4 linked regions of the Rhinolophus ferrumequinum genome follow. The protein of the gene in region 1 interacts with the protein of each later gene in a pairwise test. Links are inferred from orthologs where the notes say so. Each region holds a gene or a part of one and is shown in the gene's direction. Other genes may lie near its edges.

The links.
Region 2: the proteins of TNS2 (region 1) and SHFL interact in binary tests that used the Homo sapiens proteins (3 or more experiments, as listed by UniProt). The link is inferred for Rhinolophus ferrumequinum from reciprocal best matches to the Homo sapiens genes TNS2 and SHFL.
Region 3: the proteins of TNS2 (region 1) and CRKL interact in a two-hybrid assay, tested with the Homo sapiens proteins (2 studies listed by BioGRID and IntAct). The link is inferred for Rhinolophus ferrumequinum from reciprocal best matches to the Homo sapiens genes TNS2 and CRKL.
Region 4: the proteins of TNS2 (region 1) and keratin-associated protein 13-1-like interact in a two-hybrid assay, tested with the Homo sapiens proteins (2 studies listed by BioGRID). The two-hybrid records come from large-scale screens. The link is inferred for Rhinolophus ferrumequinum from reciprocal best matches to the Homo sapiens genes TNS2 and KRTAP13-1.

What each region holds. Positions count from the first base shown.
Region 1 is NC_046293.1:53,008,419-53,015,370, forward strand, and holds the start of TNS2 (tensin-2), read left to right. Parts: upstream 1-3,950; 5' UTR 3,951-4,116; coding exon 4,117-4,248; intron 4,249-4,861; exon of another isoform or gene 4,862-5,171; coding exon of another isoform or gene 5,172-5,246; intron 5,247-6,951; coding exon 6,952-6,952. UniProt on the Homo sapiens protein: Tyrosine-protein phosphatase which regulates cell motility, proliferation and muscle-response to insulin. Phosphatase activity is mediated by binding to phosphatidylinositol-3,4,5-triphosphate (PtdIns(3,4,5)P3) via the SH2 domain.
Region 2 is NC_046301.1:40,069,042-40,076,741, reverse strand, and holds the start of SHFL (shiftless antiviral inhibitor of ribosomal frameshifting protein), read left to right. Parts: upstream 1-4,678; 5' UTR 4,679-4,983; coding exon 4,984-5,004; intron 5,005-5,455; coding exon 5,456-5,579; intron 5,580-5,762; coding exon 5,763-5,812; intron 5,813-7,230; coding exon 7,231-7,269; intron 7,270-7,439; coding exon 7,440-7,589; intron 7,590-7,700.
Region 3 is NC_046308.1:23,324,879-23,332,612, forward strand, and holds the start of CRKL (crk-like protein), read left to right. Parts: upstream 1-4,718; 5' UTR 4,719-5,218; coding exon 5,219-5,529; intron 5,530-7,734. UniProt on the Homo sapiens protein: May mediate the transduction of intracellular signals.
Region 4 is NC_046285.1:96,957,960-96,962,978, forward strand, and holds keratin-associated protein 13-1-like, read left to right. Parts: upstream 1-3,890; 5' UTR 3,891-3,985; coding exon 3,986-4,501; downstream 4,502-5,019. UniProt on the Homo sapiens protein: In the hair cortex, hair keratin intermediate filaments are embedded in an interfilamentous matrix, consisting of hair keratin-associated proteins (KRTAP), which are essential for the formation of a rigid and resistant hair shaft through their extensive disulfide bond cross-linking with abundant cysteine residues of hair keratins.

The sequences.
Region 1 (6,952 bases):
CTCAGTGCCCTCCTATAGTCCCCCAACCCGAGAATCTCAGCGCATTCGGTCACAGGCATGGGATCACCCCAGACCGTGAAAAACGGGGTTCAGCCTTTCGTGCCAAAATGGGCTGCCCTCTGCATAGTCAAGGTAAGAAAACCTGCATGGAGGCTCAGAGGGTGTTCCTACGATTCTTTTTGAGCTTTACTAACATTACCCTGGCTTCCCTCCCTTTCCCCTTCCTCTCTGTACCTGCCTGTCCTCAGGATGCCTGGCTGGCTCCATGTGCCACTCATTTTTATTTCACTCCCAAGCCACCTCCTGTATAATGTTTCACTCTCAACTTCTCTTCAGTGTCCCTCCTGCCTTGGTCCTCACTTGAGAGTAGGCATCAAGTCTGAGCTGGAAGTTCAGCTGCCCATCTTGTGACCCTCTCAATTCCTTGGAATCTCAAAAAGGGTTCTTCTTTAGCGGCAACAACGCCAGCTTGTGTGAGGCTCTAACGCTGCCACTGTCCTGGGATCCAATCAAGTGCCTCTTCTCTGAGTCTCCCCCAGTCTCTCCTTTGGTACCTTGAGAGATTAGAACCTACCCCCTTAGCATGTATCCCAGGGCCCAGCCAAAGACATAATGAACTCTGAGAAGGGCAAAGTGTTAAAAGAAGTAGCATACACTCCAAAGAAATGAACAAATTTTCATATCCTGCATCTTGATTATAGTATAATCAAATCTTGTCAAAATCCATAGAATGACCTTCAGCCCTGCCCCTACCCCAGTAGCCTTTGATCCCTGTTGCTCTCCTAACTCCAGCCTTTCCTCTCCTCCCAACCTCTTCCCTCCCCAGCTCCACTCCAACCTCCCCGCCCCTCCTCCAGACTCCAGTGACTGCTGCACTTTCTGAGGCTGCCTACTGGACACCAACTCACACGAGCAGTAAGATCAAGGCTCCCCAGTCCCAGCCACATCTACCCCTCCCAAATGCCAGTCTCTGGGGGGACCCACACTGTCACCATGCGCTGTTTCATAGCCTTTTCCCTACTGCCTTATTGAAATCGGGGATCCACCCCTCATAATCAGAAGCAGAGTTCCCAGCCTTTGCCAAAGGCAAGATGAGCACAGAAAGGATGGAGGGCCTTAAGAGCTGAGGGTACTGGCTGCTTTGAGCAGGCATTGGGCATTGAGCCCTGGGCACTGGCTCCTCAGACAAACACCTCCCCCCCCCCCCCGTCCCCCCCCCCCCCCCCCCCGGTTTTCATCATGGAAAATCTAGTGGGGAGGGGAAGGGAGGGAGAAAGTTTCAGGAAGTGCTCACTGATAAAGAACACTGGGGAAGCTGGGATTGGGAAAAGATTCAGAACTTCTAGAAAGACATCCATTCCCTCTACCTTCCCCTCCAGGGTGGCACAAACTCAAACCAGACCCATGGCCCATTAGCTGAATTCCAGGAAGTTTCTATTCCCGTGCTAAGTCCAGACACTGCAAAAGATGGGAATAAGTTTAGACCACAGAATGAACTTCCACGTTCGTTGGAAAGCCTGGGACTAGAGTTGTGAGGAAGACTTTTTAACGGAAATCTCCTAGGGAGTGGGAGTGACTGTCCAGCTCCAAAGCAGGGCGATGGATGGGCTGACGACCCGCTTGGTGGTGGTGATGAGTGGGGGGGTCCTCAAGTATGAGTCCTTTGGGGAGAATAGGTGACACCTGAGAAGCCTCCCATGAGGCAGAGGACCAGGGAAAGTGTCCAGAGACTTGGAACCCACAAGTGACACCAAGTATCTTCATCTGAAGCTAGTGCCCCCATGGGTAGGTGGCACTAGCCCCACAGGGCCCAATCTCAAATACACTCCTGTGGAGGGGCCCGGCTGAGAGAAGCCAAGGCAGTTCTCTGTACTCTGTTTCCAGTGCCTTCTGGACCTATGTCCACCTTTTCTTCTGAGTCTGTCTGGCTCGTGTGGCTCTTTTGGCCTGTATCCCGCTGGGTCACTCCCCATCTCTGAGATTTTCCTGTCCCTGTGTCCTTGGTGTCCACCTTGCTCAAAATCTCTCCCCATCTGTCTCTTTCCGTCTCCGAGTCTCGGCGTCTCAGCGCTCCTTCTTCCTCTCAGCTCTTTATGAGCGGGGTTCGCAGAAGAAGGTGGGGAGAGAAAAGAGAGAGGAGGAGGGCGGGGGGCGGGAGCGGGCGGAAGGTGGGGATTGGAGCGGGGCAGGAGGGAGGGGAACAGCGCCGGAGGGAGGAGAGTGCGGCGCGGGAGCGGCGGGGCGGGAGGGAGCCCAGGAGCGCGGCGCCCGCTCCCGCCTCCAGCGCCTCCCGCGCGGCCGCTCGGCGCGGGCCCGGCTAGGATGGGCTGGCTCGGGGGCTCCCCCTGCTGCTGCCCCGCCCCGCCGCGCCCCCGCCCCGCCGGGCGCCCCCCGCAGGTGAGTGGCCGCGCCGCGCGGAGCGGGAGGGCGGCGGCTCGTGCGTCACGGCCGGGGAGCAGTGCCGGGGGCGGTCGCCAGGGGGCGCGGGGCCGCCGGGGCTCCAGGGGAAGCGGGCGGGCGCCGGGCTGGGGTCGGTGATCGGAGATCTGGCGGGCCGCGGCGAACTGAGACGGCTGGCTGCCGGGAAGGTGCCCAGGGGGCGGGGCGCAGGCCGCGGTCACACTCTAGTTGGGGCCGTCACGCCTTCGCCCGCCCTGGTGCGCACACGCCGCCTAGGCACGGTGCTGCTCCTTCCCGCCACGCACCCGCGCGCGCCCCGCACCGGACGCCGCTCTTCGAGTACAGTGGGGCACGTTCTTCCACATGCGGGCCCTGTAGCCAGGCGGGAACTGGCGGCCGCGCGCGGGCACTGGCCTGGGAGTGCGTCTGCGTATTTTCCTTTTCTACTTCACATCTGGGGAAACTGAGGCAGAAAGCGGGAACAGATGAGGCTGATTTGACTTTCCAGCCCACTCGTCAGCCCCCTTATGCTGCTACTCTCAATTCTCCAGCTCCCTCTGGGCACACCCATGTACCCCGCCTTCCTCCCTCTCTCCTTCGCTGGGCCTCACCCCTCCTCCGTGGCGGCCGGGCTCCCAGCCTCTCATCCAACCACAGCTATTTCCAGGAAGGGGGAGTGTGGGTGGAGGGGTTTCTCCAAACAAACCTAAGGCTTCGGAGTGTGAGGGGGCCAGCCTGGGGGAGAGGCTGACAGGCTCTGGAATGTTCCAGGCAGGAGAAGGGCGAGGGTCCTTGGGGGTCTGGCCATGCCTTCCCAGCCCTGCCGCAGTGAGCTCGTTTTCCTCCCAGCACCGCTGAGGGATCAGCACTCTTGTCTCCATCTTCCCTCAGAGGTGTACCAAGGGTGGGGAGGGTCTCAAAGCCATGCTTCCCTGGCCTCCCAACACCCGGGTTAGTGAGCCTCCCAGAAGAGTGAGGGTCAGAGGATGAGGGTGACTGCTAGGTGAGGGGACTTTCAGCCCCTCTGGAGGCAGCAGGAGTAGAAAGAAGCATCTGGAGGGGTCCAGGTCAGGGTATGTGCAATAGGAACAGAGAAAGGCCACCCAACCTACCACAGTGCCCCTCCTCCCCCAGCAGGGCTGGGGACTGGACACCAGGCCCAGTTGCCCACACTGGCCAGGGGCCTGGAATGTCCTGGGACCCAGCCAGAGCTGGTGGGTTGGGAGTGGGTTGCAGAGCCAGTGCCCCTCTCCAGTTACAGGCCAGGGGCCCAAGCTTTTTCACACAGATGCCTCCCTCTGGCCAAGGTACCCTGGGGACAGACTTCCTGACCTGCTAGGAGAATTAGACCATCAAGGGAGAAGCCCAGGCAGATCCAGGGAAGTGTCCTCAGTGAGCTCCCATAAGATGGCTCATCCCAGAGAAGGCAGGGCACGAGGGAGGGAGAGGGAAGTCTAAGGACCTGGTGGGAGATGCCAGAGCTGGGGGAGTTGCCTGAGCTCTGGGACATTCAGTAAATACCATGCAAATGAAAGAGGAATATTTGCACATTGTTTCAAGTGACAGCTCTTGCTGGTCCAAGGGGCTGCTGTCCAAGGCTTGGGGCTGAGGACCCCCAGGCCATTAACCCCTTAAATTTTCGGAAGATTCCTACCCCCCTTTCCAAGGCCCCAATCCACCTCCTCCTTCCCTTGACTCCCGGACAGGAAGTTGGCCATGTTCCCAGGAGGGAGGCAGGAGGCCCATAGAGGGGGGTGGAGTATGTGTTGGGAGGGGGGCCTCCTGTCCAGTCCTCAGGTCCTGGGACAGCTGCTGAGGAAGGAGAGCAGAGACAGGAGAGCCATGAAGGTAGTACTCAGGCTTTGGGGGAGGAGGGCGGCCCTAGGGCCTGAGGTGGAGGGCCTAAGTGGCCGGCTCCAAAGAGGGGCTAGGGGTCTAAGAGGTCAAGCAGAAACAAGCCCAGGGAATGAGTGAGGAGGGGAATGTGTCAGGAGCAGAGCAGCTGCAGGCTCTCAGGAGAAGGGCCTCAAATGCCTTGGGCTGTGGCAGGAGAATGGATCACTCCTGTGGGCAAAGCAGTTTTCTGGCTGCAATTTGCCTTCCAGTGTGAATGGGGAGAGGGGGGAGAGGTGCATGTTTTCCTTTCCTTACTTTCACAACCAGTGAAACTGAGGCAGGACACTGGCCCTCCGTCCCATTCTCCCTGACCCTCAGGATGCACTCCCAGTCCTGGGCTGGCTGGCGTAGTGAGTCCCAGCTCCCCTCCCTCCCCACTAGAAGTCCCCAGAGAGCCTACGGGTTCAGACTGGGAGGCTGTCCTGGCCAGGACACGGTGTTCCCCACTGGTCCCTGAGCCCTGCCCTGAGACCTCAGTTCCCACCCTGCCCCCACGCTGTCCCGCCCCACCGGGGGCTGGATCTCAGGATCCCAGCAGATCCTGGATGGGGTGGCTCCTGGGGCCTGGGGCAGCCCCAGAGCGGGGCTGCGGGGTCAGAGGATCCTGGGCTGACACTCCCAGCAGGGTAGATCCTGGGAATCTGATCTCCTGGCCTCCGCCACATCCTCCCCCCACTTCCTGGAGCAGCGACCTGCCCCCTTCCCGCCTGTACTCCCCTCCGCTTCCAGGGCTGGGCTTCTCCTCACACCAGCCAGACAGCCTACCCTCCACCCAGGGGAAGCGGCTGCCTCCGCCAGGCCGCTTCCAGGAAGCCCCGGGCCAGGCCCCAGCATTGTTCGGGCCCCGCGGCCGGCACCCCAGCCAGCCGGACACCATGAAGTCCAGCGGCCCCGTGGAGAGGCTGCTCAGAGCCCTGGGGAGGAGGGACAGCAGCCGGGCCACCAGCAGGGTAGGAGTGCCCACCAGCTGGGCAGAGGCGGGGCAGGGGTGGAGGTGGGGAAGGGGGCCAGGACACAGGCCAGACCCTCCACCTCAGCCTTCTCCCTTTGCTCATTACTCTGCCTCTTTGGGGTGGCCAGGGCTGTGGTATGCACCATAGAAGTTTGGGTTTGAGCAGAACCTGGGGTCTGTTTTGGCTCTTCTATCACCTCCCTGCCCTAGCCCATACCAACTCTGGGGGTCCTGATCCCCTACACCTATGTCCAGGTACATTTCATTGTAGGACCTTTCTGGGTACCATCCTGGGAACCCCAGAGCAGGGCTAAGAGATCAGGCATCTTCCCTGAGCCAAGATGTTTGGGGAAAATGGGGGGCTGGGGGTGGTGAAGGAAGGGAGGGACGTGGCCAGGTCTCAGGAGTGCCTTAGACACTGGAGGGTTGCTTTCACTGACATCATCTGTATATGCCATTTATGCTAGATGTACCCAAGTTTCCTAGTGGGTCCAGCACAGTTGGTCCAGCACAAGAGAGTTCAGTTGCTGGCTTAATCTAGCTGCGTCAGGGACACTGCCAAGAGACAAGAGGTGGGGCCTGGGTCCCCAGGCCTGGGGGGGGGGGGGGGGCCTGGAGACCCCATCACTCCCTTTCTTTACTTGCTCAGGCTTACCCCAAAAGCAGCAGCTCAGGGCAACATGAGACACTACTATAAAAGGGGGATGGGGCAGGAACTTGAACTTCAGAGGTGGAGAAAAATGGGTAGAAGAGAGGAGGCAAGGAAGCAAAAATGGTCCCCAGACAGGATGGAAGGAGTGAATCACAGTGGGAGGCGTGGGACTGCGTGTGAGGTAGGCCTGGGCCTTCAGGGGGCATCCCAGCCTCCTGCCTCACTGCACCTCTGGGTGGGGAGGGGCCCAGCCCAGCATCTGGTCCACCCCGCTACTCCATTCAATGCTGGAATCCTCACTTGAATGTCCTCAAATGACAGGGTGCTCACTACATCCAGAAGTAGCAAGACAGCTAAATATTTTCTCCAATGTCATGCCTCTGTCTGCCTCTCCCTCCAGCATTACCACCCACCTCCTTACACAACTGCTGCCTGCCGCCTCAGTGCACAATGAGTAAACATGTTGTTCTTGGGGGTGGGGGTGGGGGTGAGGAAGGCATGTCAGCTGCCTAGAGCAGGACAGCAGGAGCCAGGGGATCAGGACTGACGGAGGCCACTCCCATCAGTCAGTCTGGGTGCTGTGACTGACAGCCTACATTCTTGTCTGGACCCCCTGCTGTTCACTCTGCACAAGGGCCTCCATCGGGGAGGGCAAAATTGAAGGAGAAACGGGGGCCCTCATAGAGGAGAATCAGAGAGTGCCCCCCCACCAAGAGGAAAGTTCTTGTGTTTGGGGTGGCAGTGACCACAAGGGTATCACACACCAGAGCCACGTGAGGGGCCTAACTGATCCCTTGGGGAGGAGCTGACCCAGTGAGGGTGACGCAAGAGGCCAGATTCCATGCACTGTTGAGGACAGCCCCCACAACTGGCCGGAAACAGCAGTGGCCAAGTGTCCCACGGGTTTGGGGACATTAATCATTTGGGGACTTTAATCAGGATGGAGGAAGAAAGGAACCAGTGCGGTGCTAAGGCACTGGCCCAGTCTCCAGATGGGTCTGCTGGGAACAGATACCCCTGTCTGAGTCTCTGCCCCTCCACCCCTACCTAGC
Region 2 (7,700 bases), on another chromosome or scaffold:
AGACAGGGCCACCAAGTCCAGGGCTGGAGCAGAGGACTGGTTCTCACAGGCCACGCCTTTGGAAAAGCAACAGAAACCAAGGTGGTGTGGTAATAAAAATAGCTACGTGTTTTTTGGACTATTTCCTTGGTATCCTCTAAGTCAGCAAAATCCCATAAAAATATAATGCAAGCCACATATGTAATTTTAAATCTTAAAAAGGTAAAAACAAAACAAAAGCGGTGAGATTAATTATAATAATTTTATTTAGCCCAATATATCCAAACTATTATCACTTCAACATGTAATGAATATAAAAAGTCATTGATGTGTTGTTTTACATAAGTCTTCCAAATCCAGTGTGCATCTGACACTGGCAGCACATCTGGATTAGGACCTGCGATGTTTCAAGGGCTCAAATGCCATATGTGGCCAGTGACTACCCTGTCAGACAGTGCAGGTCTAAATGGTTTATCTATATTAACTCATGGAACTCCCACAACAATTCTATTCCCATTTCAGAGATGGTGAAACTGAGGCCCAGAAAGGTCAAGAAATTGCTCAAAGAGCTAGCAACTGACTCAAACCCAGACTGTCTGGCTCCAAAATGCATCCCTTGACCTCTGTACTTCTTGTCCTCAGTTCTGGCTTGAAGGAGCATTGTGGACAGCTGGCCTAGGTTCAAGCTCAGGCTATGCTATGCCACTTATTAGCTGGGTGTCCTGCATGATCTGCTTAATCTCTCTGAAACTCAGATTCTTCATCTGAGAACGGGACAGTGTTATCTAAGCCAAAAGGCTGAGGGATGACTTGTAGCCTCAAGCCCAGAGGACATACCACAGAAAGCCTGGCACCCAGCGAGCCTTGGACACACTCAGAGTATTTCAGCCACTGAGATTTCTCCACTCACCGAATTCATTTGAGCAGGACCCCAACTTTTGCACGTAATGCATTACTGGAAATGTGTTTGAAACTGATTTCGCAAAACTCTAACAACAGATTTCTGTGTTGTAAAGGACATTCTATTCACTGAAGACTATACAAATTATGAAATCCCAAATTATGTCTCTCCAGTTAGGTGTCATTGTCAAAGATATATTTCCAGAGTTTCATACATATTATTTTGTAAAGTAATTGAATTTGTTTTACTGTGTATATTTTGGTTCTGATTACAAAAGCAATGCCAAAAAAATGCAATTGTTAGAGAAATAAGCAATGTGGGAAGTAAAGGTGGTGTGGAAATGCACATGCAGAAATGCCCACAAATGGTTTGTGTGTGCCCAGGGAGGAGTAGTGCCCCCAGGGTCACGAGGCCCCAGATGTCAAAGCGTCAGAATACACAAAATGAAAGAAATGGTTAATTCAGCATTGTTAATGCTTTAGAAGGTTTTGCCAAATTGCCCTCTCCAAAGATTCTACCAAGGGACACCCTCTCCAACAGTTTGGAGAGTTCCCATTTCCCCACACCTCCAATTCTGGGCATTGCCAACGTTCTTCATTTGGTTAAACTGAGGGAAAAATTTACTCGATTGCACAAAGCACACACATGCTCCAATTGTGTCCACTTCCTCCACAATTAAACATATGGTCACCAGCTTAAGCTTCAAAGGGTCCAGCTGAAAGCCAAGATTTGCTGCTTTTTTTTTCTGGGTGGTGAACACACAATGTGATATATAGATGATGTATTACAGAATTGTACACCTGAAACCTATGTGACTTTACTAACCATTGTCACCCCAATAAAGTTTAATTAAAAATATATATATTTGCTGCTTTTGGCACAAGCTTCACCCCCTTCCACTTTCCCTGCTTCTCACTAAGCCCAGCCACACTGACCTTTAGCTTTCTCAATGGACCAAGCGCCTTCCTATCTCAGGGCCTTTGCACATGCTGCTCCCTCTGCTCTGCATCTCTTCACCTAAGTAACTCCTAAGTAACTCACCCCTTGAGGAGATTCTTGCAGTCAGGAAAAAAAACTGTTTTCCCATTTATAATACTACTACCTGCTTCATAGGTTGCTATGAGGATCAAATGAGATACGTAGTTTAAAATTCCCATTAAAACCATTACTCTGGAAGGGCAGAAATGGTCCCCAGCACTATGCTTGCTGCCAAAAAGGCACCTGATGCATGTTTGTCAAATTAATGAATGGATGGATCAAATGGGCTCCATCTTTGACTCAATTATACTAAAGTGTCAGAGGCTACATTTCTTATCACTGTTATCAGTACATCCATTGTCTCCCTTTCCACACCTTTTTATAAAGACAAAGGATAAAATGCAGGAATGCTCACACCACTGCACAAACAAGTTACATCTGGCCAGGCTAAGATGGCTGCAAATCTCAAACAGAACTGCTGGTGGATAGGGAGCAGCCCCATGTGATCGCTGGGAATGTTTATTTTTCTGTTCATGTACAATGCCAACATTCAATACTCCGGTTTGATCTTCTGTTTGTCCTCCCCTATTAATTCTCACCCTTCTCTCCCCAGCTCTATTCCCTGAGAGGCTGATAACAAGACCTGCTCCCTTGCCCTCCTTGCCTTCTGTTGCAGCCAATGAGAGACTCCAGCGGGAGATGGGAGAGTGGGAGGAGAGAGAGGGTGGAGTCTTCATTCCCCGTCCCTGACCTGGGCTGGATCTAGTGACATGCAGGAGGTAGCAGCAGAAGTGATGCAATGTGACTTCCAAAGCTGGGTCACAAAATGATACAACTTCCACCCGGCTTTCCTTCTCTTGGATCACTTGCTCTGGGGAGGCCAGCTGCCAAGCTGGGAGTACATCTCCACTAAGGAGGAGCTGAGGCATTTCACAAATAGCCAACACCCACCTGCCAGCCATGTAAGTGAGCCACCTCAGAAACAGATAGACCCTGAGCCAGAAAACCCCAGCGAAGCCACTCCTGGATTCCTGACCCACAAAAACTATATGAAATAATAAGTTTGGGGCTAATTTGTTACACAGCAATAGAGAAATACTACAACTACTAACAGTCCTCCCATGCTCCCACCTCAGGACCTTTGCACTTGCTGTTCATTCTGCCTGGAACTCTTCTCCCACCTCCTTCAGGTTTCCCCTCAGATGTCACTTCCCACTGCTTTCCCTGATCCCCCTTTCTCTATCCCCCTATCTCAGTTCATATTTCACCCTAGCACTTATTATTTCCTGTCCTATTATATATTTGTTTCTTGTCTGTCTCCCCCACTATAATGGCAGCTCTACATTCTGGGGATCTTTGTTTTGTTCAATGCCTGGCACAGTGTAAGCATTCAATATGGTGGCCATTATTATAAGAATCTAGCAGTCTTGATTCTTGTCATAGCTGGATCAGTCTCCCACCTGTTTCCTGCCCACTCGGTGTCCACCCTGGCCAGGGGATGGGACATAGCTGTGACCTTCCCCTCCACTGGGTAAGTAGTAATTGGCAGCTGTAAAGGGAAAGCCCCCCAGGCCTTCCCACTTCCCTCAGGACAAAATCCCAGGTCGTCTGTGCAGACTTCGGGCCCCCATCCCTGTCTGAAATTCCACCATTCAGCCACAAAGAACCATGAACTGTTTACATTCGCTAAGAGAGCAGTCTCTAGACCTACAAAGCTTTGGGGTTCAAGTAGAAAACATCAGCGCACCTATTTTTTATCTCCATTTTTTGTTTGCTAAAGAATATGTAATAATATATTATTATAAAATAATCTACAGAATCCATTGGTATAACTGTATTTCTACATAATTTATAAGTAAATATCCATCTGGGGGTAGAGCTTCAACATTCTGACTGATGGAGGTGCATAATTGGGAAAACAATTTAGAGTCATTATCCTAATGCAATTTTGCCCCCCAGAGGACATCTGGCAATGTCTGGAGACATTTTCAGTTGTCACAACTGGTGTGTGTGGGGTGCCACCGGCATCCAGTGGGCGGAGGACAGGGAGGGAAGCTGCTCAACATCCTACAATGCACAGCACGGAGCCCACCACAAAGAACTCCCCAGCCCGAAATGGCAGCCGTGAGGAGGCTGAGAAACGTCAGACTCTCTTGCTTCTGGGGTCTTTTCACCAGCTGCTTCCTTCTCCCCACTCTGTGCTTCATCTAGCTAAGACCTCAAACTCCAAGGACTATACGAGCCGTTCCTTTCTCCAAGAAACCATCCCTGAAATCTCCGGGCTGGGCCAGAGCCCCTCCAGCCCCCTGTGCTGGGTGGGTTAGAATCGTCGTGGACGTCGGGGTTCTCAACCTTTGGATTTACAATACAGATTCCCTGGAACCGCTGACGGCCGGACCAGGAACCTGTATTTTTAACAAGCACCCCCATCCCCCCACTGCCTGTCCCTTTGGACGGGCACCGAGTAGCTGGCCCGACTAGTTTGCATGCCAAGAGCTACTAAGCGTTCTATCCGGGGTCTGGAATCCTGGCGCGCACGCGTACACACACCCCCAGAATGTAGTCACTTATCACCCCCATTTTATAGAGGAGTAAACTGAGGTTCAGAGAGGGGATGTGGCCGGGTAAGAGGCTCAGAGTCAGGAAGGTGCCCAGGTCTTAATTAGCGCCTGATTTCTGGGTGAGGAGAGAAGGCGATGAACTAGGGGAGCGCGAGCTGCGGCGGGGGTAGCAGATTCGAAGGGGGAGCCCGAGATTCGCAGCGGCCTTCCGATGCGGCCCCGCCCCCACGAGGGACGTGAAGACGCGGACCCCGCGCAGCGTGGGGACATGTGACCGACTGCAGAGGCCGCGCCGCCTCTCCTGGCGGAGGTCTGCGCGCTCAGCCGCAGAGTGCGGACCCCGGGAGCCCTCCTCGGTTTGGGGCACAAGAGCAGAGGCGGAGCCAGGGTGGAGCTAGCGCTTCCCTGCAATCGAAAGCGAAAGAGGGGGCCGGGAAGGAAGGGAGGAGCCGGCCCGGAGCCCCGCCCCCTGCCCTGCGCGCGGCTGGACCGCGGGGCGCGCCCAGGTAGGGGGACTCCGAGCGCGCAGTGCGGACCCTCGCGGGGACCTGCGTGACTGCCACCATGTCTCAAGAAGGTGTGGAGGTAGGAGATGGCTACGGCTGGGCCAGGGCCCTCAAGAGACGCCGGGAAGGGCCGGGGCCGCAGAGGGGGCTTCGCAGTTCCTTGGGACTCCATCCGTAGCCCAGACCTTCCTCCTTGTCTGCCCCCCCCCAGAAAGGAGAGTGACCGCCACCTCCTCTTGAGCGAAATGCGGCCCCCTGGGCGAAAAGCAGGGGCTGCAGGGTCAAGGGTCAGAGGCCAGGGGTTACCTGGCCGGCCTCCTCCCGAGCCTAGGACGCTCGCCCCAGTCCGCACCCTCCCCCAATGCCCGGTGGGGACTTTGGCTTTTCCAGGAAATACCATGGAGGGATGGGGGTGGGGGATGCGGAGGCCAAAACCAAGGGTCAAGTTCAGGCCCAGAGAAGGATGCCTAGAAATAGGGAGGGGCAATCTCTCTTCTTCCCCTTTCCGAGCCTCGCTGTCCCCATCCCAGCTGGAGAAGAGCGTCCGGCGCCTCCGGGAGAAGTTTTATGGGAAGGTCTCCAACAGGAAGGCGGGGACTCTGATGAGGAAATTTGACAGCGACCACACCGGAGTGGGCCGCTCCATCGTGTACGGTGAGCGGGCAGGGTTCCCGGGACTGGTGGGTGTTCCGCGCGGGGGAGCTCGGTCTGTTCGGAGGGTAGGAAGAGGAGTTGAGATCATCTCTTGGGGATGGTCTGTATTGGGGCTCCGGAGACCCTGAAACTCCCACAAGATCCTTCAAGGGCCCTTCACTTACACTTAACTCTCCCCACCAGGGGTAAAGCAGAAAGATGGACAGGAACTGAGTAATGACCTGGATGCCCAGGTAAACTGCCCCCCTACGCTCAAAGGACAGGGTAACTGGGGAGGGAGAACACAGGGAACCCTGCCCATCCTTGGTGAGCCCCACTCAGTGCACTGCCAGTCTACAACTCATGGTCCAACCACATCTACTTATTCACAGAAGGGCTGTGTGTCCTGCCAGGGAGCCTGCAAACAGTAGGTGTTCATTCCATGCTAATGGTATTAAATGGGGGAGAGAGACATGAAACTAGTTAGTGACGCTAGCCAGGATTTAAGTCATCACATAGGAGCCCTAGAGGTCAGGGAAGGCTTTCTGGAGGATGTGGTGTCAACTGATCAAGGCTGAAAAAGAGTGATCCCTGGGAATGGAGGGGTCGGAAATAGTCTTCTTGGAAGAGGGAATAGTGTGAGCAAAGGAACATACAGACAGGCTGGGATGAACAGGAGATGGGGAACCGGAGAGAGGGGGTAGGGGGCTCCTGTTGAATGAATGAATGAATGAATGAATGAATGAATGAATGAATGCTTTAAAGCACAGATACATCATGGCCACTTTGCCCTTTAGATGGCTTTGGTGGCGGATGCACTGTGGATTTTGCCTGCCTGAAAGACCAGTATAGAGTTGTTAAAGAGTATAATAAAGTATGTATCATACTCTTTATATTTATACATTGACATTTATACCTATAAAGAGTATGATAAAAAATAAAGAGTAGCATTTAGCATTGATTGAGCACTTTCCTTGCTGCAGGATTCCAGGAATTTTACCTGTTGATTCATTTCATCACCAAAGCGACCCCATGAGACAGGTCCTATTATTTATTACCAGGTTTTATGGATGAGGAAACAGACAGTGATGAAGTCACTGGCCAGGATTATGCAGCATGCAGGTGGCAGCTGGGATTTGAACCCGAGCCACTCAGAGTCAGAGACTGGGCTCTGAGATGCCCTTCATTAAGGACCCAGGGGGAGTAGCTTGGCCACACTGCCACAGCTAGAAGTAATGGAGAGTTGGGGATCGAACCTGCATCTATCTGAACTCAGAGACTGAACACTTAGCCTAAAGCAGCATGGCCTCAAAGAGGCAACTAACTCATCCCAATGCCAACAAATGTGTGGTATTTAACCAGCAGTAAGGGAGCATGGGGTCCAGGCCTGCTCTGATCTCAGGCAAGCCCTCTCCTGGCTCTGGGCCTCAGTTTCCCCATCTGAGTAATGGGGATAACAGGTGTGCCCACCTCTCAGGACTGTTATAAGGGTAACAGAGGTCATGTACCTGGTCTCAGTAAGAGCGCTGCCAATCAGCTCCTTGTGAGTTAGGAACACCCTACTCTTATATGGGGCTGGGAGGGTCCCATCCAGGAGCCCGGCCGCCAACAAACAAGGTGAAAAGAGGCCTGAGCTGAATCCCCAGCCTCTGCCCCTGGTGTCTCCACCCAGGATCCACCAGAGGACATGAAGCAGGACCAGGATATCCAGGTGAGTCCAGGTGGGAATGGGGGAGGTGGAACAGGGAGGACATCCATGGGAGAGAGTGAGGTCATTGTGGAGGAGGGGGTGCATCTGCTAGGAGAGGAGGGCTGAGACTTGTTTGTGTTGGTGGAGGAAGGCCGACCACCCTCTAGTGCTCACCCCGCCTCATTTCACAGGCAGTAGCAACCTCCCTCCTGCCTCTGACAGAAGCCAACCTACGCATGTTCCAACGTGCCCAGGAAGACCTCATCCCTGCTGTGGACCGGCAGTTTGCCTGCTCCTCCTGTGACCATGTCTGGTGGCGCCGTGTACCCCAGCGGAAGGAGGTGATAACCCAGTCCAACCTTGACTCTGTCCTGAACTCCACTCCCAACCCCCATCTTCAATGTCTGACCTTCTGACCTAAGAACATCAGCCTCTGAGAGCTCAACCTCGAT
Region 3 (7,734 bases), on another chromosome or scaffold:
AATTTTTTTCTTGTTATTTAAGTACTTACATAATATTCTTGATTTTCTTCTTGGCCTGCAAAGCCTAAAGTATTTTACTATCTGACCCTTTACAAAAAATATATATATATATATGTGGTGACTCCTGATTTCTAAAGGGATGCATAGAACTGACTTCTTTGAGATAAGTGTAAGAGGGAATCAGTGTTCTCTAGCAGAAGGATCATTCTGCTCAGAATTTTACTAATGATACTCCAGAGTACTCTGAAATCCAGGAGAAACAAGAAAATTTGCCTTTCAGCCCACAAGTAGCTAAGTGACAAGAAAGTGGACATTACATAAAAGGTAACACAGCAATTAGAAACTACATTAGAAAATGGGAAGAAGAATATGACTACACTTTAAAACACTGGAATAAAGGTCAGTGCTTTCGATAGTGGTTAACAGACCTTCTGGATATGGCAGCTAGGCCTACTTCAGAGATATTACCCTATGAACAAAATGATTATTTTAAATTGTTTGGTATGGAAAATTATAATGGGTATATGAACATTATTTTATTAGTATTGTAGTAATAAAGTAATAGCAGGAAAAAAAGAAATCATCAATAAGCTCCTTTTCTGTTTTAGGAGATAAACTTAGAAATACATGTAAAACATGGGGGAATAGGGACTGAAAAGAACTGATGAATGAGAGAAAAAATTTATTACTTAAGAGGGGAAAAGTTCAAAGAATCAGGTTAATAAATGCAGTAGAAATTGAACAGGTCAGTGAATTCTTATGGAGAGAGCATCTGAGAATGTCTGGCCTTATCAAGTCAGTGAAATAAATACTTCACATACTTCCCCATCGACACGGTCATGCCCCTTTTACCCTCAGCATCATTGCTAGAAAAGAATCTAGGGCAGGAGGAAGGGACAGACACTTGTTCCTCTCGTGTCCTCAGTAAGGCAGCAATGTAGGAAGACTGCCTGGCTTACCCATCAGCCAAAAGGTTGGACCTGACCAGAGAGGGGAGAACAAAAAGTCGGTAGTGGGTCTCAAGGTCGTGTCCTCTGTACAGAGGCAGCCGCAGGGCTAGGAAATAAGGAATCCAGACAAGTTGCTCTAAAATCCTTGTCAGTCCTTTGAATCTAGATTGTAAACTTCTCAGAAGATGAGTGTTAAGTGTAATACCACGTGGAAACCCTGGGAATGAGCAAGCTAAGGCAGAATCACAAATCTTTATATTACAGCCCTTTTTTAAAATGCTTCTTTGTTGCTTATCCATTAATTTCCATTTTATCTCTTAGCATCTAGGAACACTTTTTGGAACTATTTTTAAGCTTCTCTCAGCTGTGCTGAGGAAACATAAAGGAAAGTACTAAAAAAAATTTCTATTGTAAAAATTTCCAAACATATACAAAAGTAGAACAATATAATCCCCCCTACACACACATCATGTCACTCAGTTTCAACAATTATCAACACAAGGCCATTTTTGTTTCACTTTTATCCAGTCCACACCCTATTTCCCACTGGACTATTTTGAAGCTAAAGGAGAGGTATTTTGATCAATTTTTAAGAGGAATTTTTAAAGAGGGGAGCGTGGCATTTTGGCAGCAGAATGGTGGTGCTATCTAAAATCCAAGCTGGGGGACAAATCCAACCCCTATTTCAAGACTGATATTCCTTTCTGGTGCTAGAATCTATTTCGGAGGGCCTCAGTTTCGCTATCAGCAAAACACAGAATATGGACTAAATTATAGGCAGTTGGGTAACAGTGAAATGAGACCTTGACTTCAAGTCAAAAGATCTGGCTTAAGAGTCCATTCAGCTCTGCCTTTTGCAAATTATATAACTTATAAATTATGTAAGTAACACTTAACCTCTCTGAATTTCTATCTACAAAAGGGTACTTCATGGGACTTTGGTTGAATTAAGTAAAACAATGTATTATTTGAAGTTTTGTGAATTAAAATGCGCTATATAAATTCGGTTTTATTGAGTTCTTCAGTTAAGTAAAAGATGACTCAGATTTGAATCTACAAATTAGGAAAACAGTGATGCTATTGACAGAAAAGGAGAAGCTGAAAGGCAAAGTTTAATCCAAATGGAAGACTAAACAGAGAGGGAGACATGGGGCTAAACCTTTGATCCAAATATCTATTTAAAATACATTCATTATGTTAATAATAGGAAATAATTGCACAGTCTCCTTACCCTCAGCAAAATAAATGTTCAGTTTTCTCTAGCTTCTCCCTGTCTTTATCCACCTACATAAAAAAACCATTTATTAAGTATGTATTATGTGCTGGGCATTGTGCTAGGCAGTGGGAATACAAAAAAATAACACCACTGTCTGCCTCCAAGATGCTCAGATTAGGAGACACACTTATTATATAAACAATTATAGTAGAATCGGATAAGAATTAATTTGGGCGGTGACTACTGTTTGCACAGTAATCATAGGGTGTGGTCAGTTTTTGTTCTATTTTTAGAATATACCTGTTTCAGAGTCACCGACAGAGAGGTGACTCCTAAAGCCTTCATCATGGTCTACGAAAAGAGAAGCTGTAGAAAGGTTAAGGACTGAGCTTCTCCACAGAGGCTGGAGACAAAAGTGCCACAGGAAGAGGCTGAGAAAGTATATTTGGAGAGGTGGAAGAAATTGTTAGTGTACTAGGAGCTGGGGGCAGGGAGAAAAGTCTTTTCAAAAAGAGATTTTTAGGGCTGGCCCGGTGGCTCAGATGGGCCTAACTCCATCTCCTAACTCCAAAGGCTGCCGGTTCTTCGATTCCCACATGGGCCAGTGGGCTCTCAACCACAAGGTTGCCAGTTCAATGGTGGGCTCCGCCCCCTGCAACTAGCAACGGCAACTGGACCTGGAGCTGAGCTGCGCCCTTCACAACTAAGACTGAAAGGACAACTTGACTTGGAAAAAAAGTCCTGGAAGTACACACTGTTCCCCAATAAAGTCCTGTTCCCTTTCCCCAAAAAAATCTTTTAAAAAAGAAAAAAGAGATTTTTAGTATAAACACTTAAAGCTAGGTAGATCAATGGATTCAATGGAGATCACTAATGATCTCCAAAGACCAGTTTCAGGCAAAGTAAGGGTAGAAGCCAAACGAAGAAGGCTGAGCAAGGAGTGCTCAGTGAAGTGGGAAAATCTGGCAGTGAAAATCAGCTAGAAAATCAAATGGAGATTTTTCTCTCCACCCTCACACACCCATTTTAAGATCTGCACTTTTTTTAAGGCTATGGGTAGAAGGCCAGGGAGAGACTGAATAAAAATAATGAAAGATTCTTATATGATACTTAATATGTGCCATGCACTATTCTTAGTACTTTACATGTATTAGCCTGTTTAATAATACATGAGGCAAGGATGGAATGATTAAGTAACTGGCCAGAGGTCACTCAGCTAGTCAATTGACTGAGTCAAGATTTGAACCTCAACAGTTAGCTTCAAATTCTGTGCTATTCAAGTTGTACCTGAGGTTGCCTTTTACTTAACAGAAGAACTCAATAATACCTAATTTAGATAGTGCATATCAATTCATGAAACTTCAAATAATACATGAAAGTGTGTGGGCAATTGATGAAAACGTGCTTCTGCTGAGTCACAAAAGGCACCAGCCCATGACCCTTGAGTTTACCCTAGGATGGGCATCACCTATCACCCTATACATTCTAGGACATGTTCAACCTGAAGGAAGGGGATGTGCAAACAGCCAAAATGAAATTGCATTGAAAGAGGGATCTAAGCATGGGTTTGTACTGCGTGCATCTCCCTTTCTGGACATGCTTTCTTTTCTGTTCAATTCAGGGAGTGGTGCTACCAATAATCGGGCACCAGGAACTTCGAGGTTTTTTAATATTCACTCAACAAATATTTGAAAGCATCAACTTAGGGCCCGACATTGTGCTAGGCCCAGAGGTGAACAATTCAGACAAGATCCTCTCTCAATATTTACAATCTAGTTGGAGGGTGGGGAGAACAAAGACTAGGAGGCCAAGGCAGGAGAGGGGTGAACAAGGGGGAAGATTAACTCGGAGAAGCCAGTAGAATCCCTGGCAGGCGAGGCCTTGAGGCCACGCCCAAGAGGCTTTTGTATTTAACTTGCATCAATTCAGCGCCAGTGACCGCCAGATTACCCTAAACACTTTCTAGACCATTTAATCCTGTCAATCCAACCTTTACACCTCCCACTTGTGCCTGTCGGGTCACCGGGTCACTCTGGGTCCCTAGGCCTACAAGGCCTCCTCGGGCCAGGGTCACCTACTCCCCCTATCTAGTGTCGCCTCAGCCCCCACGATCATCTTCTTGAGCCACCTCGGCCAATCCGGGTTTATACTCCCGTCGGTCTCTCTTAGCGCGGGTCTCCTCCGCCGGCCAGGTCACCTCAGTGACACGCTACCAGGGCCGGAGGTTCGGCCAGCGCGTTACGCTTTGTTCCCAGAACAGGTTTTCGAAATGCCTCTCCCTCTCGGCTCCAGCTGTTTTCCTGCCAGTGCGGGGAGACCCGGCAGAGGCAGCGCCCCCGGCGGCGCACAGTGGCCCAGGAAGGGAGTGCCCGCCGCCGCCAACTTCCCCACCTCCTCAGCCTCCTCCCGGAACGCGGGATAGCGCGCGAGCGGCGCACGCCCCGGCCGTCTCGGCCGAGTTCCTGATTGGCTATGCCGCGCGACGTCACGGGGAGGGTCCCGGCGGCAGCTGGTAGGCGAGCCCGCGCGTGCGCAGACTGAGCGCGGTGAGCGGAGGGGGAGGTGGCCGGCGGCTTATCTCGCGTCCGCCATTTTGTTGCTGTAGCTCTTGGGAACCGGCTGGGCAAAACCGCCCTAGAGGCGCGACGCTCTTTGGACTCCGGTGTTTGGTGTGTCAGCGGGGGTTGGCGCAGATCCGTGGGAGCGCAGAGCCGACGCGTTTCAGGTCAGGAGTGACTGGAGGCACCCACGGACGCCGAGCATCCCGAGAACCCCGGGGCGGCCTCTGCTGCGGCTCGGCTTCACCCGCCCCGACCTCAGGCTCTGCCCGGCATTCCCCGAGCCGGCTCCCTCCGTGAGGCGGCCCCGGAGCAGGCGGGCGGAGGCGGAGGATGCTGCGGGCCCAGAGCCAAGAGGAAGGTGCTGGCTCGGCCCTCTAAGCGCGCCTTGAGGTGTGCCGAGAGGCCCTTCTTCGGTCCCAAAGCCGTCTGGCGGGCAAAGGCGTCCAGAGCGGGCAAGAGCAGCCGCCGCCCCAGAGCGCCTGCCCGACACCATGTCCTCCGCCAGGTTCGACTCATCAGACCGTTCCGCCTGGTACATGGGGCCGGTGTCTCGCCAGGAGGCGCAGACCCGGCTCCAGGGCCAGCGCCATGGCATGTTCCTAGTCCGCGACTCCTCCACCTGCCCGGGGGACTATGTGCTGTCGGTGTCCGAGAACTCGCGGGTCTCCCACTACATCATCAACTCGTTGCCCAACCGCCGTTTTAAGATCGGGGACCAGGAGTTTGATCACTTGCCGGCCCTACTGGAGTTCTACAAGATCCATTACCTGGACACCACCACGCTTATCGAGCCCGCGCCCAGGTACGCGAGCGCCCGCAGCCGGGCGCGCTACGCACCCCGACCCCCGAGGAAGGTCGACAGTGGCTGGGTTGGTTCGCTTGGGGTCCATCCAAGAGTGTGTGTGGGGGGGGGGCGGGGAGAGGGGTCATTGAACTCATTTCCCCCTATTCTGAACCAAATTACTTTCCAGAAGCCTTTCGGAAGGGAAGGCTAGTGCCAGGATCTGGGTCACTGTGGATGAAGGGGATGTGTCTTAAACAGATTTAACGGCGGTTGCATAGATAAAATGTACGCGTTTTGCTTTTCATCACATTCTTTATTTGGTTATCATGCTAAAGGAGGGTTTTTGTTGTTTTGGGATTTTTTTATTTAAACCTTTTTTGGATCACAGACTTCTTTGAGAATATTAATATCGCCGTGGCATTCTCCCTCCCCCCAAAAATGCACGTACACACAAGTTTGCACGCCATTCAAGGGTCTTGGACTCCCTGCAGATCTCTGAACTCCAGGTTAAGAACTCTTGGACTGCAGCCTTTGGAACGATCGACAAATGACAATGCTTTAGCGTTTAGGAACAAAAACCTTTAAATGTGAAGTAGTATCAGAACTGTATGTCGATACCTTGGTGCCAGGTTTGAAATAAGCCAGACACATTCTATTTTATCATACATCAGTTACAAAAAAATCTTAAAAGAAGGTGCATTGGCTTCAGTGAGGGCATTTTATTTATTTATTTTATTTTACAGTTTTCCCCCAAGCTGGACCGTTAATAGGCTAAAAATCCACTTGGTTTAATTTCAAGGAGGAATAAGGCTAGAATATTTGCTTACTAAGGGAAATTTTTAAAAGACACTTTAATTCTATCGTAGTTCAGTTTTAGATTTTTTTTGTATTAAGTCTAATGATTTAATACCTTTTAAAGTTAACAACCCTAAGTGACACTGAGCATCAAGCATCCCCTTTTGTAAATAAAATGCATTCTTTTATTTGATTATTTGCTTTAATTTGTCTTAGTCAGTATTTTATCAGATGTTTCTTTCATGCCAGATTTGAGCTGAAATTATGCCAAATTTGAGCTGAAGAAATTGCCTAGAATTTTAAAAATAAAAGGTATTTCACTGTCCAATTTGTTTCTTAAACATCTATTTTAAAAATACAGGAGATTTTGGGGGATGAGATGTTTCTGATTTTATGAATTTGCTGACGAGATTACTCCGAGCTTGAATCATTATAAGGTATTATAATTCATTAAGGAGCACCCTAAGTGTTGGCTTCTGTGGAGTAGAGATAGAGAAAAAAACAAAGCCATGACAGTATAATGACTATGAGATTAACTGCTGAAGTAAATGGACTTTAAAAACTGGGACAAAGTGATTATAAATCAAATACTGTGTAACAAAGACCTAGACACCAAGAATCTGGTGAAACTCCAGGTCCCCGAAGATGCTGGTAATTGGACTCACTTTGAGCACGATATAATTACAATGTAAGGGATAGAATCTTAGAATCCATGGTAGTGAGATTTTGTAATGTGTTTACGTAAATGATTTTCCTAACTTGGGAAGGTGAATCATATCATGAATTTCAGGCATTTATTAAGCCGTGCTATGGGCAAGGCATTGTGCTTTCTTGAGGTGACAGGTACTATATACTATAGCTGTTTCAAAAAGTGTAAGTAAATGGCTTGATAGGCCTCAGTCGCTTCCCACTACCCCCAACAACGACTCCAAATCTTCCATACACTGTGCCTTCGGAGATGTGATCGATGCCTGTCCTCTCCTCCCACCTTGACCGCCGCCCCGCTAGGCCGCTCGCTCATTCCCGGAACCTTTGCGCAGGCTGTTGGCTCTTCAGTGACTGCCTACCCACCCACTCCTCACTTACTGTATTGAAATCCTACCTGTTGTTCCAGGCACCTCTCAAATAATAGGACCTTTCCCTGACCCTCCCCCTCACATTCAGCTTTGATTAGTTCTCCTTCTCTGTGCCCTCCGCCCCAGGCGTGTTGCTGTAATTTAGTTTTTCATTTTCCCTGGTATCTCGGAGGGCCTTCACAATGCTGGCTGAATTAGATCCTGACTGGAATGACTTTGTTATACTGAATCTTTGCCTCTCCCCAGCCTGAAATTCACGGATTTGGTTTGATGTGTTATTAGCCTTTGTAGAAATCTAGAGGCTGGTAAAACCTTGGCCAGATGCAAAAGTCAGTGTAATGATTTTTCACAC
Region 4 (5,019 bases), on another chromosome or scaffold:
ACATAACTTGAAGAGACCAGCAAGTCCAGATCTAGGCTCATTTCTTTTGACTTCAGTTCTGGCCCCTATAGGGCCAGACTCCCTATAGGGCATAGACTCTCTATGACTCTAGAATGCTTGCGTATTTCTTTGAAGTTTTCAAAGAGAGATTCTTATTTTTTTAATTTTCTCTAGCTTTTCTAGTCTCCTTGAGAGGACTGGTGTAACATTTTAAGCAATGTTAACTTGCTAAATTTCTGTAACTTTGAGAGATTTATTTATTTTTATAATACATAGGAGTGATTCAAATAAGTGAGTGGCTGCAGCGAAGATGATCATTTGACCGTTTACAAGTCTGCTCCTGTTGTTTCAATGGTGGTAGATGACACCACAATTCAGAAAACTCCAAAGCTGCCATCGTGGGTGTCCAGGTTTTCTAATTCTGTCTCCCATTTCCATACCACATGTACTGGTGTTATACTGTGTTTCAGTATGGCCTGAAATCACCAGGAGCTTTCGTACCTTTCTGCTTTTCTCAGTTTATTTTATCTTTCTAGATCTCATGGTATTCCTTTCCATATTTATGGTATCTTTGCTTTTCTAAGTGACACCCATCCCCAGTAGAAGCTGTCAACACCCTGCCTATGTCCCTTGGGTATTCGTCTGTACACTTCTGGGACATCTGTAAAACTCTGCCAAAGGACCTTTCACTTCACAAGAGCTCCTGTGCAGGGAATTCTCTGTGAGAACTGAGCTCCAGTTTCTACATGGTACCTAGCTTAGTGATGTACCCTGTGTTGCCAACCTTTCATTCCGTCACATTGTCCCACTTCCCAACAGAGATTTATTAGGCTCACCGGTCAAGTAAACAACTTGCATTTGAATTCGTGTTCTCAGCCATTGTTTCTGGACATTTTATAGAAAAATACATATCAGGTGCCTCATTAATATGTTCATTGAGAAATCTTCAGTGTTTCTCCACCTTATACAATTTTAATTAAAAGATCCCTAGGGAAAAATACCAAGACCATATTACAGAGAGAAATGTGCCTTAGGATTGCGTGCAGCACATTTAGGAAAAGCAGCCATGATAACTTTGTCCAGCAAATGTATTTTTAAGAATACAGAATTCAAAGCCTTCTAATCTATATCGTATAGTAATAAAAAATGTGTTTTGGCTAATAATACTATATAGTGATTGAAAAAAATTTTATATAAGAAATACTGGCTTTTGTTTATTAAGCTGCACCCTAGATGACTAGTAAAAGCAAGATGCCCAACATGTGAGTGACAAATTGATTGGTAATTGGTAATTAGTAGGTAGGTGCCAAAAGTTGTAACTTGCAACTATAGATGAGTTTCTGTTGGAAACACACCTCAAATATCAAAACTATTTTGTTTATAGTCTGGTGATGGCACTCTGCACTCTAAAAATCAGAAGCCACTGGATGTACAAACCAGAGTGATAAGTTTTAAGTCAAATATCTCAATTTTTAATTGTTGGTAAGTAACTCAGTCAAAAAAGAAGAAGAAGAAGAAGAAGAAGAAGGAGGAGGAGGAGGAAGAGGAGGAGGAGGAGGAGGAGGAGGAGGAGGAGGAGAAGAGGAAGAGGAAGAGGAAGAGGAAGAAGAAGAAGGAGAAGACCCAATGGTGGAGGTCTATGTTATATACAACAAAAAAAATATAATCTTTGAGTTTAATTCAGTCCCAGGTTGGGGAGTACAAATTCTTCTTAAATTCATACTAACTTAGTGTAGACAAAGTTTTTAGATTTAGAGGCAAAGGGAAGAGAAGATTGGATCTTACAGAAAAGGATCCTTAAACAAGGAGACAAGTAATTGAAGACAAATTCACTACATTCCCCAGTTTTGTCTAATAAATCTGTGTCCCCTGTTTAAGTCTTAAGGTTTATCATCAATATTATTTCATTTTTTTCCAGTGTTATTGAAGGATAAATGACAAATAAAAGTTGTAGATATTTAAGCTATACAATGTTATGTTTTGATATAGGTATACATTGTGAAAAGATTACCAAAATGAGACTAAACAGCATATCAATCATTTCCCATGATTACATTTGTGTGTGTGTGTGTGTGTGTGTGTGTGTGTGTGTGTGTGGTAAAAACATTTAAGATAGTCTCTTTTAGCAAATTTCAAGGATACAAAATAGTATTAATAGTATTTTTGACTGTAGTTACCATCCTGTACATTAGATCTCTAGAATTTATTTATTCTGAAATCTTGTACCCTTTGACCAATATCAAGATAATCTTAAAGAGTTGTGTTTTAAAACAGAAAAAAACAATGGGGAAGGAATAGCATCTACAGTGTTATATTAATAGGACAGTTTATCTACTTGCTGAGGCACAAAGCAAGGAGAAATGAATTCTGGTCTTGAAGAATAGAAAATAAAGGACTCATCACTACCTATTTGAATTGGGTGCATTTACTTCTTTCCTCTGTTCCTTCTAGAAGGTCTACATTAAGTGACTTTTAAAATTGCTATAGATTTTATTGAGAAAATTTTATACATTTAACATCATTTTTGTAAGTTTGTTACAGCTTTGTAAGAAACTCTTTCCATCAGCCATGAGAGTACGTTTCATTCAGTCCAGAATATAATTTAACTGGTTGCATAAACATTGAATATTTTGTGAATGAACTTAGAAAGCATTTGGTTGTGCTCTAAGAATATGGTAAATCTAACAAACGTTTTTAAAACTGAAACTATAGTTAAGCAGAAGCAAAAAATAAATAGCAATGCAAACAAGAAAAACAAAACAAAATAAACTTAAACCCAGAAAAAACAGAAAAGAAAATTGGTGGGTAAGGAGAGAGAGAGGTGGAGAGGAGAGAGGGAGAGAGGGAAAGAGGGAGAGAAAGATATGTCTGTATACAGCAGAAGAAAAGAGAACTAGAAAAGGAACTTCAGATTTAGGCAAGAAAATGCAGAGCGGTACCTGGCTCTCTGCAGGAGCCAGAAAGTCACTCAAAGCCTGTGCAGTGGAAAGCTAGATACATTATAAGGTGATAGAAGCCTTGGATAGTTATATATGTAGATGATGAAAAGGAAAACATATCAAAATGCATAAAATATACTAATTTTGTAAAGTTTTAGTTATAAAAGTATTGGGATAAAATGGACCACAATTTAGGAGTGCAGTAAAAAAATCTGCAATTGCTGAGCCTTCTCGGTGTTCCCCTTTCAGTTGTTTCCTCCCCTCATCAAGCTAGTGTGTCCCTCTTGGCTGTCTGGGAAGAGGCCCAGACTGATCTTCCCTGGGGCTGTTGCAGTGGAGCTCTTTTTTGTCACCTCATCTTTAAATACATGACAAAGTGTCTTTCAGTTTCTCGCCATCTGTCTGTTTTATCTAGTTTTGGTCTCTTTTCATTGGGTGAGGGGCACACTGTGTAGCTGCAGTACTTGGTGTATTAGTTTTCTATTGCTGCCATGACAAATTACACCAAGTCATTTAGGAGAATGGGAATCAATGGTGACAAGATGGATCATTTTCAGGAAGACTCCCATTCTGATGGAAATGGATTCATTGCACCAGAACATAATTGATGTTACCTCATTCCCCACTCTTAGGAGGAAAGCATCCTCCAGCAAAACTAGATGTGGCTACATAGGAAGCACATGGAGGTAGCATAAGCCAGAGGAAAAGCTTTCTTGGCCCTGATGCTTTCCTGGTCGTGATGGGATATGCATTAGTATAAAACAGTCATAGCATTTTTGACAGAGGAGCAGTTCATTGGCTTTGGCTGTAAAAACAAAATTATAGCACCCATAAATACAATATGTGGAAAACTATTCAAATGTAACCGCAATTACAGAGACAATTACTGAGTTAGTCTTATGCAAAAGAGCAAATCCAATATAGAAACCGTGATCTCATAGTGGACCACACCCATTGTTGAGGGTATATAAATGCCATAGCCCAGAAGTGACATTCAAACTCAGAATCGTCTCCTGTAACTCAGCTGAATTCACATCTCCATCAACATGTCCTACAACTGCTGCTCTGGGAACTTCTCCTCCCGCTCCCTTGGAGGCTACCTGCGTTACCCAGGCTCCTCCTGTGGCTCTTCCTACCCCAGCAACCTAGTCTACAGCACTGACCGCTGCTCCCCCAGCACATGCCAGCTGGGCTCTTCTCTCTACAGTGGCTGTCAGGAGACATACTGTGGGCCCAGCAGCTGCCAGACGTCCTGTGCGGTGTCCAGACCCTGCCAGACGTCCTGCTACCGCCCAAGGACCTCCACGCTCTGCATTCCCTGCCCACCAACTTACACAGGGTCTCTGGGCTGTGGGTCCAGCAGCAGCTGCTCCCTGGGCTATGGATCCAGGAGCCGCTACTCCCTGAGCTGTGGTTCCAGTGGCTTCAGACCCCTGGGTTATGGAGTCTGTGGCTTCCCTTCCCCGAGCTATGGGTCTGGATTCTACCGCCCAACCTACTTTGCCTCCAGGAGCTGCCAGTCATCGTGTTATAGACCAACCTGTGGATCCAGTTTCTACTGATCAAGTTGTAAAGGGCCCAGATTCTATTGGTTTTGAGGTCAAAGTCTCTACTCAGTACAGCGATCATTTTCATTGTCACCAGTTACCACTATTCTTTTATTCTTAAATCATCAGTATCTTGCATCACCAACTTTTGACAGACTCTGAAATTGATTGGTAACTCAAAGTTAAGCCCTACTACCTGTACTATTGATAAAATATATGTTATTGGATTTCCACTGAAGAGCAATTGAAAATGAAAATTGTCATCAAATAAATTTATGTAATCTGGCACCCAAAATATTGTTCATTCTTCTTATTATTACCGTTTTCTCTCTTTTTTGCCTGTAACTTTTGTATTCAAGGATTTGGAAGATTTAAGTAAAGATTGATATGACTTCGAAACTGGATTTGGGCACAATGCAATTTGATAGATTTGAGCAAATTTCTGTCAACATTGTATATGTTCCCCATTAGAAGTAGTCATTTCTAGGAGGTCCATATTTCACACCTCTCACTGTCAGTGACATTTGCCTGAA